Lytechinus pictus: one gene and its partner. The protein of the gene in region 1 purifies or fractionates together with the protein of each later gene. This does not show direct contact. Links are inferred from orthologs where the notes say so. Each region holds a gene or a part of one and is shown on either strand. Other genes may lie near its edges.

Region 1 (7,183 bases):
TATCACGGATGTGTGGTTTTATCAATTGCCCTAGGGCAGTAATCAGAATACAACCAAGGTAATCAATTGTTTTAATGTCCTCATAAGGAAAATATAATTTAGAGTAAAACCTTCGAAAAAAAAATTAAAGCCATTTTGTGTATTGGAGTAAATGGAAAAGTACTCCTTGCCTTACACCAGTATGACATCACCATACGGCTAATTTGAATTCTCCAAGGGTATAAGTGATTACCAATTTTTACAACTTTTAAAAAATTCATAGCTTTCTTACTGTTTGTCCAATATTGTTTAAACTTTTGCCTATCTACTTGTCTGATATTCCTTTTTCTTCTAAAAACATTTTTTTTTTTTTTTTTGGGGGGGGGGATTTCCCTTTAATGCCTAGAAACTTACTTTGCAATTCTCATGAAATCTGTGTATTGTTGTGGCTTTCCATTCAGTTTGTTAGCTGTCACTCCATTGCCCTGCAAAATAAACATGTCTTATTATTGTTTCTTCTCTTTTATCATTTCTATTTCAAGACTTGGGTACACTTTCAAAAGAAAGTTTAACATGTGTAAAAAGACTAAACCTCTAATAAAAGTTTTATAAGATAAGAGGGACAAGCACTACAAATATTTTTTAACAAATGATCTAAGAAGAATTTAACGAAGGTTTATATACACTGCATAACAGTTAAAATAGTAAAGCTGTATTTGATCTAAGCATTCAAGTTATCAGTTACATGTATTTAGTTAATATAACATGAAAGATTTTTAATATTCCCATTTCTGATACCCAAAGAAAAAAAAATTGTATGTTCACAATTTCATTAAGAACTGACCCAACATATCCTTTACATGATTCAAACAATTATGAAATATGACTAACATGTGATGTACATTGTGATGTCATCAAATAAAATGGAATGTTACACATTGTCTAATAATTTTAGATTTCTGAAAGTGAAAGTGGCACGTGTATGAATAATGAAAAGTTTACCCCCCCCCCTCTCCAGATACTTACTTGTCTTGACTGCATGGACTTGATGGTGGAGAGGAACTCCTGGGTGCGATCTCGGCAAGTCATATCGCCAGTATCTACTCCTCCTGCCGTGGAAAGAGTCTCTGGTGGAATGTGAGTAGTGACCGTCCAACCGCTGCGTTGGTGGTACCCACTGTTACCGGAAAACCTGCTGCTCTCACTAATGTTTTCTTCAGTTGAAGGGTGTCGACGTCTATTGTACATTGGTGGTGTATGGCATTGCCAAGATCTGGAAGACAGACAATGCAACTGGTGATATCGCAACTCAATAACTCTAATTGATTGCCCTTGAAAGATTGAATTCTGAATAAAGAAGTATTTGCATCAAGATAACTGGCAAGGGGGGGGGGTATCAAAATGTAAATCAGGGAGAAAAATTATACTGGAGCTCAGATTTTGCCCCAAAAGAGCTCTGGAAATAAAAAAAAAACCCTAGAAAATCCCCATTCACTATTTTAAAGCTGATCTATTAAATGCAGATTTAGGCAGGATGTAAAAAGCCCCCCAAAATAGAAATATTTTGACTGGTAATCATTCTTGAAAAGAGCACAAAATGTGGACCCCCCCCAAAAAAAAAAACAGGAATGAAATGTCTAGATTCTACACATCGAAAACTGCCCAGAGAAACTAAACAATAACATTACAAATCCTTACAAATGAAGCCCACTCATCTAATCATTAATTATTCAGGTGTGGATGTGTATAGGCAACTCATGTGACATAGATGAAAAAGGGTCATATTTTCAAGGCCCTTATTTTCTCAAAACAACAAAATAGATGATCAGTGATTTTGTAAATTTTACAACTTTTCCCAGAGAAAACATGTTAGGCAATAATTAATAGGATACCATTTTCAAGTGACCAAAATATTTAAATTTTGCGAAGAACGGGGCCATCAGAAAGGACCCAACTGGGAAAGAGTTCCTCTTGCAACAGGCAGCCACCCAAAATATCAGATTGTCGAGACATCCGGTTCATTCACTTCCTGTTCCTCTATCGTTTTTTTTTTAGTGTTTCTTTAAAAAAAAACATGATGGAGGAACAAGAAGTGAATGGACCGGAAGTCGCGACAATCTCGTTATTTTGGGTGGCTGTCGCGATGTCGCCAGTCGGAGTGTCGCAAGACTGAGGAACTCTTTCCGTCTGTTAGCTGGCACAGTTGGTGCTTTACTGGACAGGAATAACTGTTGTTTCTGGGGATTCTTTACCAATTTCTGACATTCTACTATCATCCCCATTAATATTACTATACTAATAAGTCAAAGTGGAGCCTTTGGTCTGACTACAGAGTACAGTTATTAAGTTAAACGTTAACTTAAACTTACACGTTACATTACACAATTTCTCCAAAGTTTCAGCTCAGACTCGGTAACGAAACAGATGTCTGCTTAAAGATAACAATCAAGAAGTTCTTCAGAAACTCAATCGCATCAAACCACCAACCACCTTTACTCAATGTTGTTAAATTAACGTCTCTTTCCTTGACTCAAGACTCTTGTTCAATGACGATGTTAGTTAGTTTTTTCACACATCATTCATGACGAAATGTCATTCACGAAAGACCAGCTCTGAATTGATGACTATTGATTAAGCCTCCTCTTTTCTTGAACAATTCTGTGACAGACGAAATCTGAGGAAAAATAACTTTGTCAATAAATGCAGATGCGACTCTCGTGCCACAATCTATCAACTATAATATAACCGTTAGAAGGATAGATCTACAAACATCTTGCTTCGTTGAATCATCACAACTTGCCACCGGTAATTACGCACAGTCTGTCTGTGTACGGTATAGTGGTAGTGGCCGCACCGGCTGGCTGAGCTGAGTGCATGCATAGCTAGGTAGTGGGTATGCAGTGTCGAGTTAGTTGACGTAGCAAGCTGCTAGTGTACCATGGGATAGTACGGAGACTCCCTAATAACTCGTCCTCATCAAACTCTCTTTACTCAATATACATCGTTCGATCTAAACGAAAAGTAGGCCTATGTGGCCTCTACCTCCATTTCTTTTTATCCAAAGCTACCAAAATTTTCTTCAATCATTGACCCTACTATTTCCAAAGAGACAATATAACCCTTAATCAATAATTCGATGTCAGTGGCGTAGTTATAGGATTTCTTTTCCTGGGGGGACACTGGGAGTCCCTGCTTTTTAATCGGGGGTGGGGCACTGAAAGTGTCCGTGCATACTGATTTGTCACAGGGGCGGATCAAGCTTTCGCCAGTAGGGGGTGGGGCCCGAAATCATTTTCACCCATATTTCCCCCGATTTTTCCCGATCGGCCGAGTTGATTTTTGTCACTTCTTAGCTATATTGTTATAAAACTAATCTCATAAGCCCTATTTAAAAAGTGCGAGCGGACGTGAAGCGCGATCTAATTTTTGTTTTTGAACTTTCATGTAGGCCTATTTGGTCCTGAAATTTTAACATTCTGGGCAATGTTTGTGATCCTGCGAACAAGATGCGTATGTATATAACTAGATAATTACTGCGAACGCGCGGCCAAGCGCGATCAGAAATTTTGAATAAACGTTCCGGCCTGATAAGAACTGTTTGCAGTTAGCCCCCGAGTTATAGCCATGAAGACGATAAATATTGTAACATGCGCGATGCGCAAGCTGAAAATTGTTGTCATTCCGACCTAAAATAATGGTCATTCTAAGCAGGGGCGGATCCAGGATCTTTCGAAAGGGGGCACATTTTTTACAGGAAAACTTTGACAAGCAAAAAAAAGGGTTTTATTAATAAGGGTATTTCGTCCACAAAATAATTTGACAAGCAGAAAAAAAGTCTTCAATTTCAAAGGGGGTGGGGCACACTTCTGTCTTAACGGCATCTTTACATTACAAAATTCAATTGTGCCTTCCATGGGGGGGGGGGGGGGCACGGGCCGGCGGGCTGTGCCATCCGCCAACGGTAGGCACTTTTTGTAATCATGAAAGGGATAGGAATGTAACTAAACAATGATACTAGCGCGAAGCGCGAGCTGAAGAAAATTCAGATTTTAGACCTAGAAACGGGACACTCTGTCCATGTTTTGTAAATCATGATCTTCCTAGTAGGAAATATAGTTCAGAATATTGAGGCCTATACATAACTCACCAATCAAAATGAGAGCGTGCATCGGTAGCTGATATGTCGACCGTGAATATGGATATTTTGAGAACTTTATGGAATACACGAAAATAATAGGGCCTACCTGACAAATCAAATGTTAATATTGACCTTAAAACTAACATGTTTACAAAGCACTTTTTAAAATTAATTCGTAAATCAAACAAAATAATGAAAGTTCGATTTCGAACTGAAATATGTTTTGTATATTGAGCAAAATATATAATCACCCCATAACCAAAACAGGCAATTCAAGCGCGAAGTGAAATGAAAGATTCCTCTCTGAGGGAAGAGTTCCTTTTGCGACAGCCACTCAAAATTTTGTTTATGTTCATAAATCATAACATGAAAGATTTTGTTTATTTTCCAAGTCTTCTCCTCATTTTGTTTTATTCACTCGTCTTCCTTCTCTTTTTTCTGCTATTTTTCCCTACTCTTTTTTGTCTTTCCCCCCTTTTTTAAAATCTTTTTTTTGCTCCACCAGCGGGGGGGGGGGGGGGGCGGGCCCCTCGCCCCCTGGATCCGTCTATGAATTTACTTTAGAATGGGCAAAATATATAGTTATTGCACTGATGGTCAATAAACTATATGCCCCAAAAATGCCAAATGTTGTTGGTGGACACAGTCATACTTATCCTCATGGAGCACAATAGGCCTATGGGAGTGTAAGCCGGAGTCTCCGCCCTTTTTGTCTCCACCAAACCAAATAATATTGCATTTTAGACGACACACTGTCACGCCGGAATCGGCAGTCCCGCGATGATTTTACGGGTGTGATAATTACGTTTTTTTTTAAAGGCGCCGCCACCACTGCATGCAGGCTTAGTCTGCTGTGCCAACCCTATAGCTTCACTAGAATAAGGGTCAGAATGTGCAGCCTATATTCATGACGTGTACTGGAAGCCTATTGCCACAGCAAGTTTATGTGCTCGTCGATGCGTGGAGAGATTGTTGATCAAAGTATGTGCTGCAGACTATACTCGTCGCCGCTGGCTGCTTATATGCTCCTCCCCCTTGCCAAAACCTGAATCCATTTACCTATAGCTATGACTTTCTTATTTTACACCTGGGGCACGTTTTATAAAGAGTTGCAACTTTGCCATTATGGTAACTACCATGGTAACCTTGATTTTTATTGGCTGCTGAGCCCTGTTGCCATGGTAGTTGCCATAATGGCAAAGTTAAAACAATATTGTAACTCTTTATGAAACGGGCCCCAGATTTTGATTGAATTTTTTATATGCTTGTTTGATTTTCGATTGATTCAGAAAATCCGGCGCCAGCTAGCCTTCTTTAATTTTACTGTTCCTTTCTTTATAAATCCAAATTTGAAGTCACGGATCTGAGAAGTATTTTGAATATAGTTAAGTGAAATATAAGTTTTTCATGAGGCAGCAACTGAAGTATATATGGGTCGGGTCGATCTGAGCTGGGAGTATTTTTGTTACGGCGATTCTTATGTAGGACGATTTGTCCGGCTCGACGTACATAGGGCATATTGCATAGACGTGACATCTTTCGCAATCAGTCTCTTCTTGAACTCGCGGCAGCGCTGAACCATCGCGCTTACGAATACCAACCCGACAGACCCGGCGCGGTTGAAGAAAGGTTTCGATACGAAGTACAGCACCAGCTCTGTCTGTTTCGTCTCCAATGCCAACAGAGAACAAAATTCGATTGCTAATATATCTTATAATATCTGGTTTGAATTGTCATCAGCTTGTGAGACATGCCGCCAACACTGTCACAAGCACAAGGTCAAGGCCATGAACATGTTCAAGGACAAGGAGGTAAACAAAGTCAAGTTAGGCCTAACTCTTTTTTTTACTTTAGGAATAGGATCATGGATGGAGGGCCGAGGGTCGGGTGTTCGGATAGGCCTACTTTATATTTTTGAAGCCTTCTTGTTTGTCTTTGGATTACACTAAAAATATGAATTTAATAGTTATAATCATCTTCTATTTTGTCTCTATAATATTTCCTAACATTTTGTACTAAAAATTGATGAAACTTCGCTTGTAAATTTTTCCAAATGACTTTCTAAAATTGATCGTCAGTACACACAACCTGTCTTAGAAGTTAGATAGAGACATTATTTATATCATAACCTTGTTCATTGAATGAGTGGATAGAGAAGGTGTTGGGTGTGTGTAGCTAGCCAAGCAGGAGGCTCCTAACGTTAGAGTGTAAAACTCATTTACTAACATGTGCTTACTCTCCACGGAGCCAGGAATTGCGTCCCATTTATGTGCGTGTACCGTGAAAGAAACAGAAATTTTTGCCCCCGAGATTTCTAGTCTACTTTCCATCTAAAAGATCTTGCCTAAATCATGTAAAAGGGATAATAATAATAATGATATGCAACATTTATATAGCGCTTAATACAAATGTTTCTAAGCGCTGCATACTATTACCCTAGACCAGGGGTTCTCAAACTTTTTCTTTGAAGGGCCAGATGAGACTCGAAATAAACCTGAAAGGGCCAGGGTGAGTGGATTTTTTGGAAAAAAATGTGCGCGAAGCGCGAAGACCCTTGCGGCCGGGGTCCTAGATGCTATCTGGGGCAATCTGGCCCTTATTTTTGGGAGAATTTAATCCAAAAAATAATTACGGTTTCATATGGAACACAGGCAATATCAGAAAAGATTTCAAAATACAGCAAGAGTCAATATAGACAACAAAATTGTTGTACTTTGTTAAAAGGAATGTAGATTGTACCTATACGTCAATTTTAACACATACCTGGAATTTAAGAGACAGATAATGTTTTGTAGTAGGCCTATCAATATTTTTTTTTGTCAAAGTAGATTGGCCAACACATTGGCCTTGTACTCGATTGCGGCAAAATGAAAGCATACTTGTCTGTCCATTCTTTATGGAAAGCACGATTTTCAGCATGCACCTTTCCTTTATTTGCAGAATTTGATGCCATCTTGACCTGGCTATTATTAATGATGACTAATGTACCCCTGAGAAAATCCGCAGAACTTGAACCGGCAATTAAGTTTACGTTTTAACCAAATTGATCGCGTGTTGGAATGTATG
Region 2 (7,242 bases), on another chromosome or scaffold:
TTGTATTGATCGAGGCAAGGATACATCTTTTCTTCATTTTACAGAGAAGCTTTAAGGGTTGTAAGAAGAAAATAGGAGTAAGGGACGAATACCCTTTTGCCATTTGATCGTTCACCAGAGTAAACAATCGAATAGTTCGAACAATTGAGATTTCTGGAATGTCAGAAATTACAAAAAGGTTGACCTACTTACATTTTCTTGGAATATGCGCAGTATAAAGAAAGATTAGAGTCTAACGAAAATAGTGGGCCATCGTTCAAGATATGTCATTTAGATCTAGACCTAAAAAAAAAAAATCTAGACCTAACACTAGATTCTAGATCTAGTAGGCCCGAATTGGGCGACATGATCATGATGATTAACGTACATGGAGGCTTGCACTAACGGACTACCGTTACCGTCGGTGAATGGGGATGATACCAGGGGGGCCAGTCAAATATATTGCTGTACACACGCGTGACCAAGGAATTTTCAAACACCCCCTAAACGAGTTTTTCTCTGTGTGCAAAATAACCCCCTAAACAAGTTTTTCGCGAGCTTTATTTACACATTTTTGGCCCCTAAACAAGTTGTCGCCAAAATATGACCTCGGGGAAAAAGCTTTGGGGAAAAAAACATGTATACCCTAAATACGTTTGAACCCGTGATTTACCATTGACCAGTCTTTCAAACAACCCTTTTTCTTGAAAATTGGTGTATTCGATACCCTTATTAAAAGGAAAATGAAAGGATAGATTTATTATCTGGTCATAAGCCAATTACACTTCACTAATTAAAATAAAATTAAAATGAGGCAGAACGGTTTCCTATTTCCCATGATATGCCAACTCAAAGTTATCAATATTTTGATATTCGAAAGACCCGTGGAGGTCGCCATTTTGCTCATACTCCCCATATCTCCGTGGGGGGTTGTGACGTCAGCGACGTACACCTCAGTGTCCAACCCCGGCGAGCGCCTGTGATTGCTGGCGTAAAACAATGCTGATCAGGATGGTATACTGCCAAGCGTATGGCTGCTGAAATCGGTCAGAAAAGGGGACAAAATGCATCTAGCTTTTACCTAATTCACGATCCGCAGAAGCTGAGGCCAGAAATCTCCCTAAATAAAAATTGGGTGGCTGCTGCTGACCGTGCGCCAACGTGCCTCTAGGCTCTACTCTATAATACCTCTAAGTTAGCTCTGCTCGTTGAGCGATTTCTTCGGCCGAGTAGATCTATTTGTGGCTCGAAGTCGTAGGCTCTCGGCCATCCTTTTCAATACAAACGTCCGCGATATGTTTTGTTTTATTTAAAATCGACGGTAACAAATAATAAACAACGTTAGATATATAGAAATATAACACAACAATTTCCCGATATTCAAACGGGATAAATAACCAAACTTCCAACATAACACGATCACTCGGTTCAGGGTACATGACGGTCCGGACAGTACGTACAAATTTAGCTTTGTCAAATTTGCCAATTTGGATATCGTGAATAAATTTGTAAAAATTTTCATCAAAACTCATCAATTTGTGTTTTTAATCCATAAAATAATTTAAATAGCTTTTTAATATTATTTCTAAGTGTTTTATGTGTATATTTTATTTATTTCTGGTAAAAAAAGTATCTATATTATGCAAACTTGGGGGCAGTTTCAGCCTGTATAGCTAGCTATGCGTTATGCACATGGAAGTACCGATACTACCGAGAGCAGTTGTACGTCGCTGACGTCACAATTTTGAACAAACCCCACAACAATGGCGATCTCCATTCAGAGACTTCGAACCTGAAGAAGCCCAACTTTGAAGAGGTGGTACTCGATACTGGGAAATCAGATTGGGGTATAAGTGGATTCATTTTGATTGGCATGTACTTATCAATGATATTATGTGGTATTCAATTTTGGGTTTCATTCTCCTTTAACGCGTTTTTTGGTCACGCGTGTGTACAGTAATATATTTGACTGGCCCCCCGGGGGATGATAGTATGGCCATACTTCGCGGAAGGTCATTATCTCAAAGACTAGCCGATATCCTTAAAATCTGACATCATCAACATAAAAAGCGACCTAAAATTACCCTTTGGCGTAAGTTTTGTTAGGATAAGTTGAGTATTCATGAAAAGATTGGGAAATTTGTCACCGTTAGCGCCCGTTCCGAAGAAATCTGATATCCTCAACAAGCATCATGAATTCATGATATCATTTTGCAAGCAGATATCATAAAAATGTGAGTTCAATCAATGTGGAACTCACTGATTCTTTTAGCATTTTGTCGTCAATCTGATATAAAATTCTACCTTTTTGAGCTTGATTTTTTGTTTGAATCTCCACAAAAACTTTGGTCCGCTAAGTGAGGTCATACTTTTTTCAGAACGGTTTCCCAGCACAGCTTGCATTCATCGATCGGAATAGAATTTTTGGATCGCGATACCGGCGAAACTCCATGAACTACTTCACATTTTCGTCAATGATTTTATATCATAATTTACAATCTTGCCGTCACCCGTCAATGTGGTAACTATTTCGTTGAATTGGTTTTGTATACTTTACTTGTGAATATTTTGTAAAAAAAAAAAAAAAAAAAAAAAAACGCGACGCTCGCGTCCGTAACGTTGGGGAAGTACAATAAGAAACAAGATGGCGGCGTAAACATCGGGCAAGTCTCTTCCGTTTTTTCACAATGTTTTTCTCATTTTTTTAATGAATTCTTGTTTAAAAATAACAACGAGAGCGTAGAAATGTCGGAAATGAAGTTTTATCCCAACAACATGATTTAGAGCTAGATATTTTAGTTAAGGAAAGTAGAAATCTCGGGGGTGAAAGTTTCAGGTTTTGGGCAAAATTTGGGGTCCTTCGTGTAGGTGAATAGGGAGGACTCCCTGGCTTCATTTAGAGTAAGCCTACGTTAGTAAATGATTTTTACTCTCAAGAAGCCGCCTGGCTACGGCCGGCCACGCACGCGCCACGACGGCAGCGCTAGCGGAGCCTCCGTCACACACCACTGTCATGACATGACTATCTCAAGACTCAACTGTTACACACCAACACGGGCAGCACCACCTTCGTTCGTCGACTCACTTCGACTTGTTATCGTATCCGAGTCGTACATGTTTAATTTCTCACCTTCCCATTGATTTCCTTGAGACATGTTTCGCATTTTCCTCTTACTCAATCCAAGGATAATACGTACAGTAAATACTTGCAGTTCAATTTGGCTGAAAATTAGAAAAATTGAATATCAAAATCGTCACCGTTCGACTACGTGGAAGCTCAGTCAACATAAACAATGAAGATATCGGCACTATTTAATTCGCGCAGGAGTGAATCGTTTTGCCAATCTTGCAAGGCAATATTTAAAAAAAAATCAATAGTTTTGAAATTATCATATGGTTCGAATTATTTTCTCCTTAAATAATTTGTTTTAATATTATGCATTAAAAATGATTTTTTCATTATGTGTTTTGAATCAAATATTTTTATTTAAATAAAATAATGATGTGCTCACTCGTAAATATATCTAAATCTTTCTTGCCGAAATATTTCGTTAGTATATTCAGAAAACAATGTTTATTGCATAATAGTTGTTATGCTCCAATATGGAAGTGAGTGGAACTGGAAAGTGGAAACAGCTTATGGTTTAGTCACTGAGAATTTTGAGGAGCGAGCTTCATTAGACTAGAGATATATGCACACTGTTTGAGAATTTGAGAAGAAAGATAGACTATTTGGATTGTACTCTCAAATAATTAACTTTGCTCGGCTACCCCTCAGGGCCCAGACTTAACTTACATGACTTAAGTCTTAAAAAGACTACATTATAGTACAACATCCTGCTGTCGAGCTGTCCTGTCTATATTTCATTCATTTCAATGGTGATATCACTCCAACCCGGGACAAGTCAGTCCAACATTAGATTTGGATTGGAACGAATATAAACAGAAGCAGAAAATATTGGTCTAGATATAAAGTTCGAGTTGTACTTGTAGGCTATCAGATCAAAATATTACTTAGCATGGTTTAATATTTCTGCTCTGCATCTACACAGATCAGTTCTTTGCATTGTGACAGTTTCCATCATGCATATAATTATAATACCCCAAGTTGCCTACCCTCTTTGCTTACTCAAGATGTCCAATATAGAATATGACAGGCAGAGATCTAATTTCTTTTTTCCCTCCCACAGGAAACAAGAGGCTGGCAATATGCTGAGTTGAATTGACACAGCTCAGATTATAAATTATGGATAAGTATATCACCAGAAAAAAGAAAGTCAAGAAACCTGCAGAGATAGGATTGGCTTCAGGTAGCCAACATGATCATGATGGAGAAAAGGATGAAAAGAACGAACCTACATCTAAACGGTTGAGAATTGATAGCAAGACTGAATCTTCAGAAATAGATCTTAGGATGCTCCAGCATATCCCACAAAAGAAAAAAATATCCCGAGAGAATCTTGACTGTGATTACTTGCATCTGTATTCAAAGAAAGAGGCAGATATTCTGTTCCAACGTTGCGAGGAGTCTCTAGATTATTTTACGGGTGATCTTGCAAGGATTAAAGTTTATGGAAAGTGGCATGATATTCCAAGAAAACAGGTAAGTTTTAAAAGTTAGCCTTTATCATATGACTTTAATACCTTTTAAATAGCTGAACGTCTAGTTTGCATTCTGTTATAAACCAATTATCAATATACAAGAAAATGTTTGAACAAGTTGTGAACCTGTGATCAATTCAATTTCAAAAATGATATAAAAAGTTTTCATTAAATTTATATTACAGTATCAATGGAAAAGAGTGATGTTCAGTTTTGTCCTATTTATCAATCATTTTCTAACCCTATAATTATCTTGTTTTTCTATGTTGCCTGCTCATTTTCTGATACAATGATTTTTTTTCCATGTGGTGATATATTCTTACATTCCAAAGATGTTAATGTGTTCTCAACTTAGAACATCTTTTTCCCCCCTCACCCCTCACATGCAATGATCTGGTATGCATTGTAGCCTTTTACATTACACAAATTAGGAGGCATGTTTTAGCATTATTCATTTAAAACCAAAGCAGCAGTAGTGCCTGTAGTGGAACATATTGTCATACAGTGATGACTGCCTATTAAAAAGTAAAATAAGAAGTTCAGTTTTTGTGGGTGTTCTTTTACTTAGAAAGACTCAGTCATTGTCCCCTGACAAGAGTTTGTTTCTCCATAATCTACTTGAAAGCTTTGCTTTGGGTGCTAATTATTAAAAATTAAGTTGATCAATTCAGAATATTCGCTTTTATTCTGAATCTGTGCAGGTAGCACATGGTGATGCAGGTGTAACATACAAATATTCTGGAGTGACTGTTCCAGCTAAACCATGGATACCACTGTTATTAGAAATTAGGGATAGGATTCAAGAGGTTACAGGGTTCAAATTTAACTTTGTTCTCATCAACAGGTAAGGTTTGATTCAATTCTTAATTATAATTGTATTTTTCTCTCTCTCCCTGTGTATGTCTCTCCCTACTTCTATCTCTTTATTTTGTCTTATTATTAACATTGTTCAGTGTACTAAAGTCACACCCTCTCCCCTCTCTGTCTTCTCTCCCACTTTTATATGGTATGTAGCCATTTTTATTTTCTATCATTTCATCTACCATTTAACAGGAATAGTTGACTTGGTAGGCAGATTGTAATACATCATTTATATATGAAAAATTAGTTTAAAAATATCTCAAACATTTGACCAAGACACTAATTTCTGTCATATTGTCTACATCTAGGTATGCCGATGGAAATAACTACATGGGTGAACATCGGGATGACGAGAAAGACTTGGTTTCAACTAGTCCTATAGCGTCCCTGTCTCTTGGACAGAACCGTGACTTCATCTTCAGGCACTGTGAGGCCCGAGGATCTCAGGCCAAACGAAAGATACCACCAGTCAAAGTGGAGCTAGAACATGGGAGTTTACTCATGATGAATTATCCTACTAATGTTTACTGGTACCATTCGCTGCCTGTCAGGAAGAAAGCTTTGAATACCAGAGTTAATATGACATTCAGAGATATTGTAACTGTCAAGAAGTGACCAGTGAGAGGACTTTTTGGGAAATAGGTTACAGCCAAAGTGATTTTGTATGTTTGTCTTCTTACCACTAAGATTTAATTGCCCAATTAGAATCTTCTGTTACAATGACATATTCAAAAAATATAATCGATCTTCCATTCCATTCCAGTTTTGGTAGATTGTTTGCCAAAAGATAATGCTTGATATCACTAAGAAGATTGTGTTTTGTATACACAGTGTTCGTTTAGAATAAGGTAGAAGACTAGAACCAGAGTTCACTTCATCTTCAGATACATTTATCAGCACACAAGACCTTATTGTTGGACAGTGAATATCAAAAAGTAATTTCTGACCTTGGATAATTGATTAATTTTGAATAATGATGTTGTATAAAAAAAATCTAGAAGTCAACATTTCAAATTGTTAATTACATCTAGAGACATACATCCAAAACAAATCCTGATTATGTCCTCATGAGTATTTTTTTTTTCTTTTAAAGGAAGGTGGCTACACTTTTTTCATCAGGTGGGACTAGATATAGGGAAAGAGGATCCACAAAACATTGTGCTCCCTCCCTAACTCCCATCTTACTGAGATATACACATAACAAGAGTAGATTTAATCCTAAAATGTAGGTGAATTGACAAAGCACTCCATTGTCTGATAAAAGCCAAAATATGATTACAGTGTAATGTACTAACTGCTAGAACTTGATGTCATGACCAACTAAACATAATGGTCTGATTGTAACTTTCAAATTAATAAAGGATTGTTCAAATACTATGTATTGGACACCATATTTACTTTGTTTGCACAGTAGTTACCTTTCATGTAACTTATGAATACACATGATTTTCATATATCAATACAAATTCTTAACTGCCCTAGGGCAATTTATCAAAATGATTCAAGTCTTATTACGAAATCACATTTAAATTCCAGTTGAGTGTCTTATAACATATTACTGCCGCAGTCTCAGTCATATCATGCTGAGGGGATGGGTGCAATCGCATATTGATCAAATATCATTACAGATTTACTATCATGTGCAATTTGGCAACTTAGGCATGACTTTTATTCAGATTTAAAACTTTGTGATACATGTCCAGGGGGGTGTTTCACAAAGATTTAAGTATGAGAGTCACACTTAAATGTAGCCTGATGCGTACGTGATATGCAACACGCAATCTTATTGATCAATATGTA

Evidence for each region. Proteins that work in one complex are often made in the same cells at the same time.
Region 2: the proteins of syntaxin-5-like (region 1) and Golgi SNAP receptor complex member 1-like purify together in Homo sapiens (affinity purification with western blotting; 3 studies listed by BioGRID, with this or other methods). This does not show direct contact. The link is inferred for Lytechinus pictus from reciprocal best matches to the Homo sapiens genes STX5 and GOSR1.

What each region holds. Positions count from the first base shown.
Region 1 is NC_087251.1:41,209,385-41,216,567, reverse strand, and holds the start of syntaxin-5-like, read right to left. Parts: upstream 3,008-7,183; 5' UTR 2,349-3,007; intron 1,253-2,348; 5' UTR 1,228-1,252; coding exon 1,006-1,227; intron 465-1,005; coding exon 394-464; intron 1-393. Other genes in the region: methionine synthase-like, read left to right, coding at 5,868-5,928. UniProt on the Homo sapiens protein: Mediates endoplasmic reticulum to Golgi transport.
Region 2 is NC_087246.1:8,978,982-8,986,223, forward strand, and holds the start of Golgi SNAP receptor complex member 1-like, read right to left. Parts: upstream 3,010-7,242; 5' UTR 2,995-3,009; coding exon 2,910-2,994; intron 1-2,909. Other genes in the region: DNA oxidative demethylase ALKBH2-like, read left to right, coding at 4,226-4,582, 5,283-5,425, 5,751-6,057. UniProt on the Homo sapiens protein: Involved in transport from the ER to the Golgi apparatus as well as in intra-Golgi transport. It belongs to a super-family of proteins called t-SNAREs or soluble NSF (N-ethylmaleimide-sensitive factor) attachment protein receptor.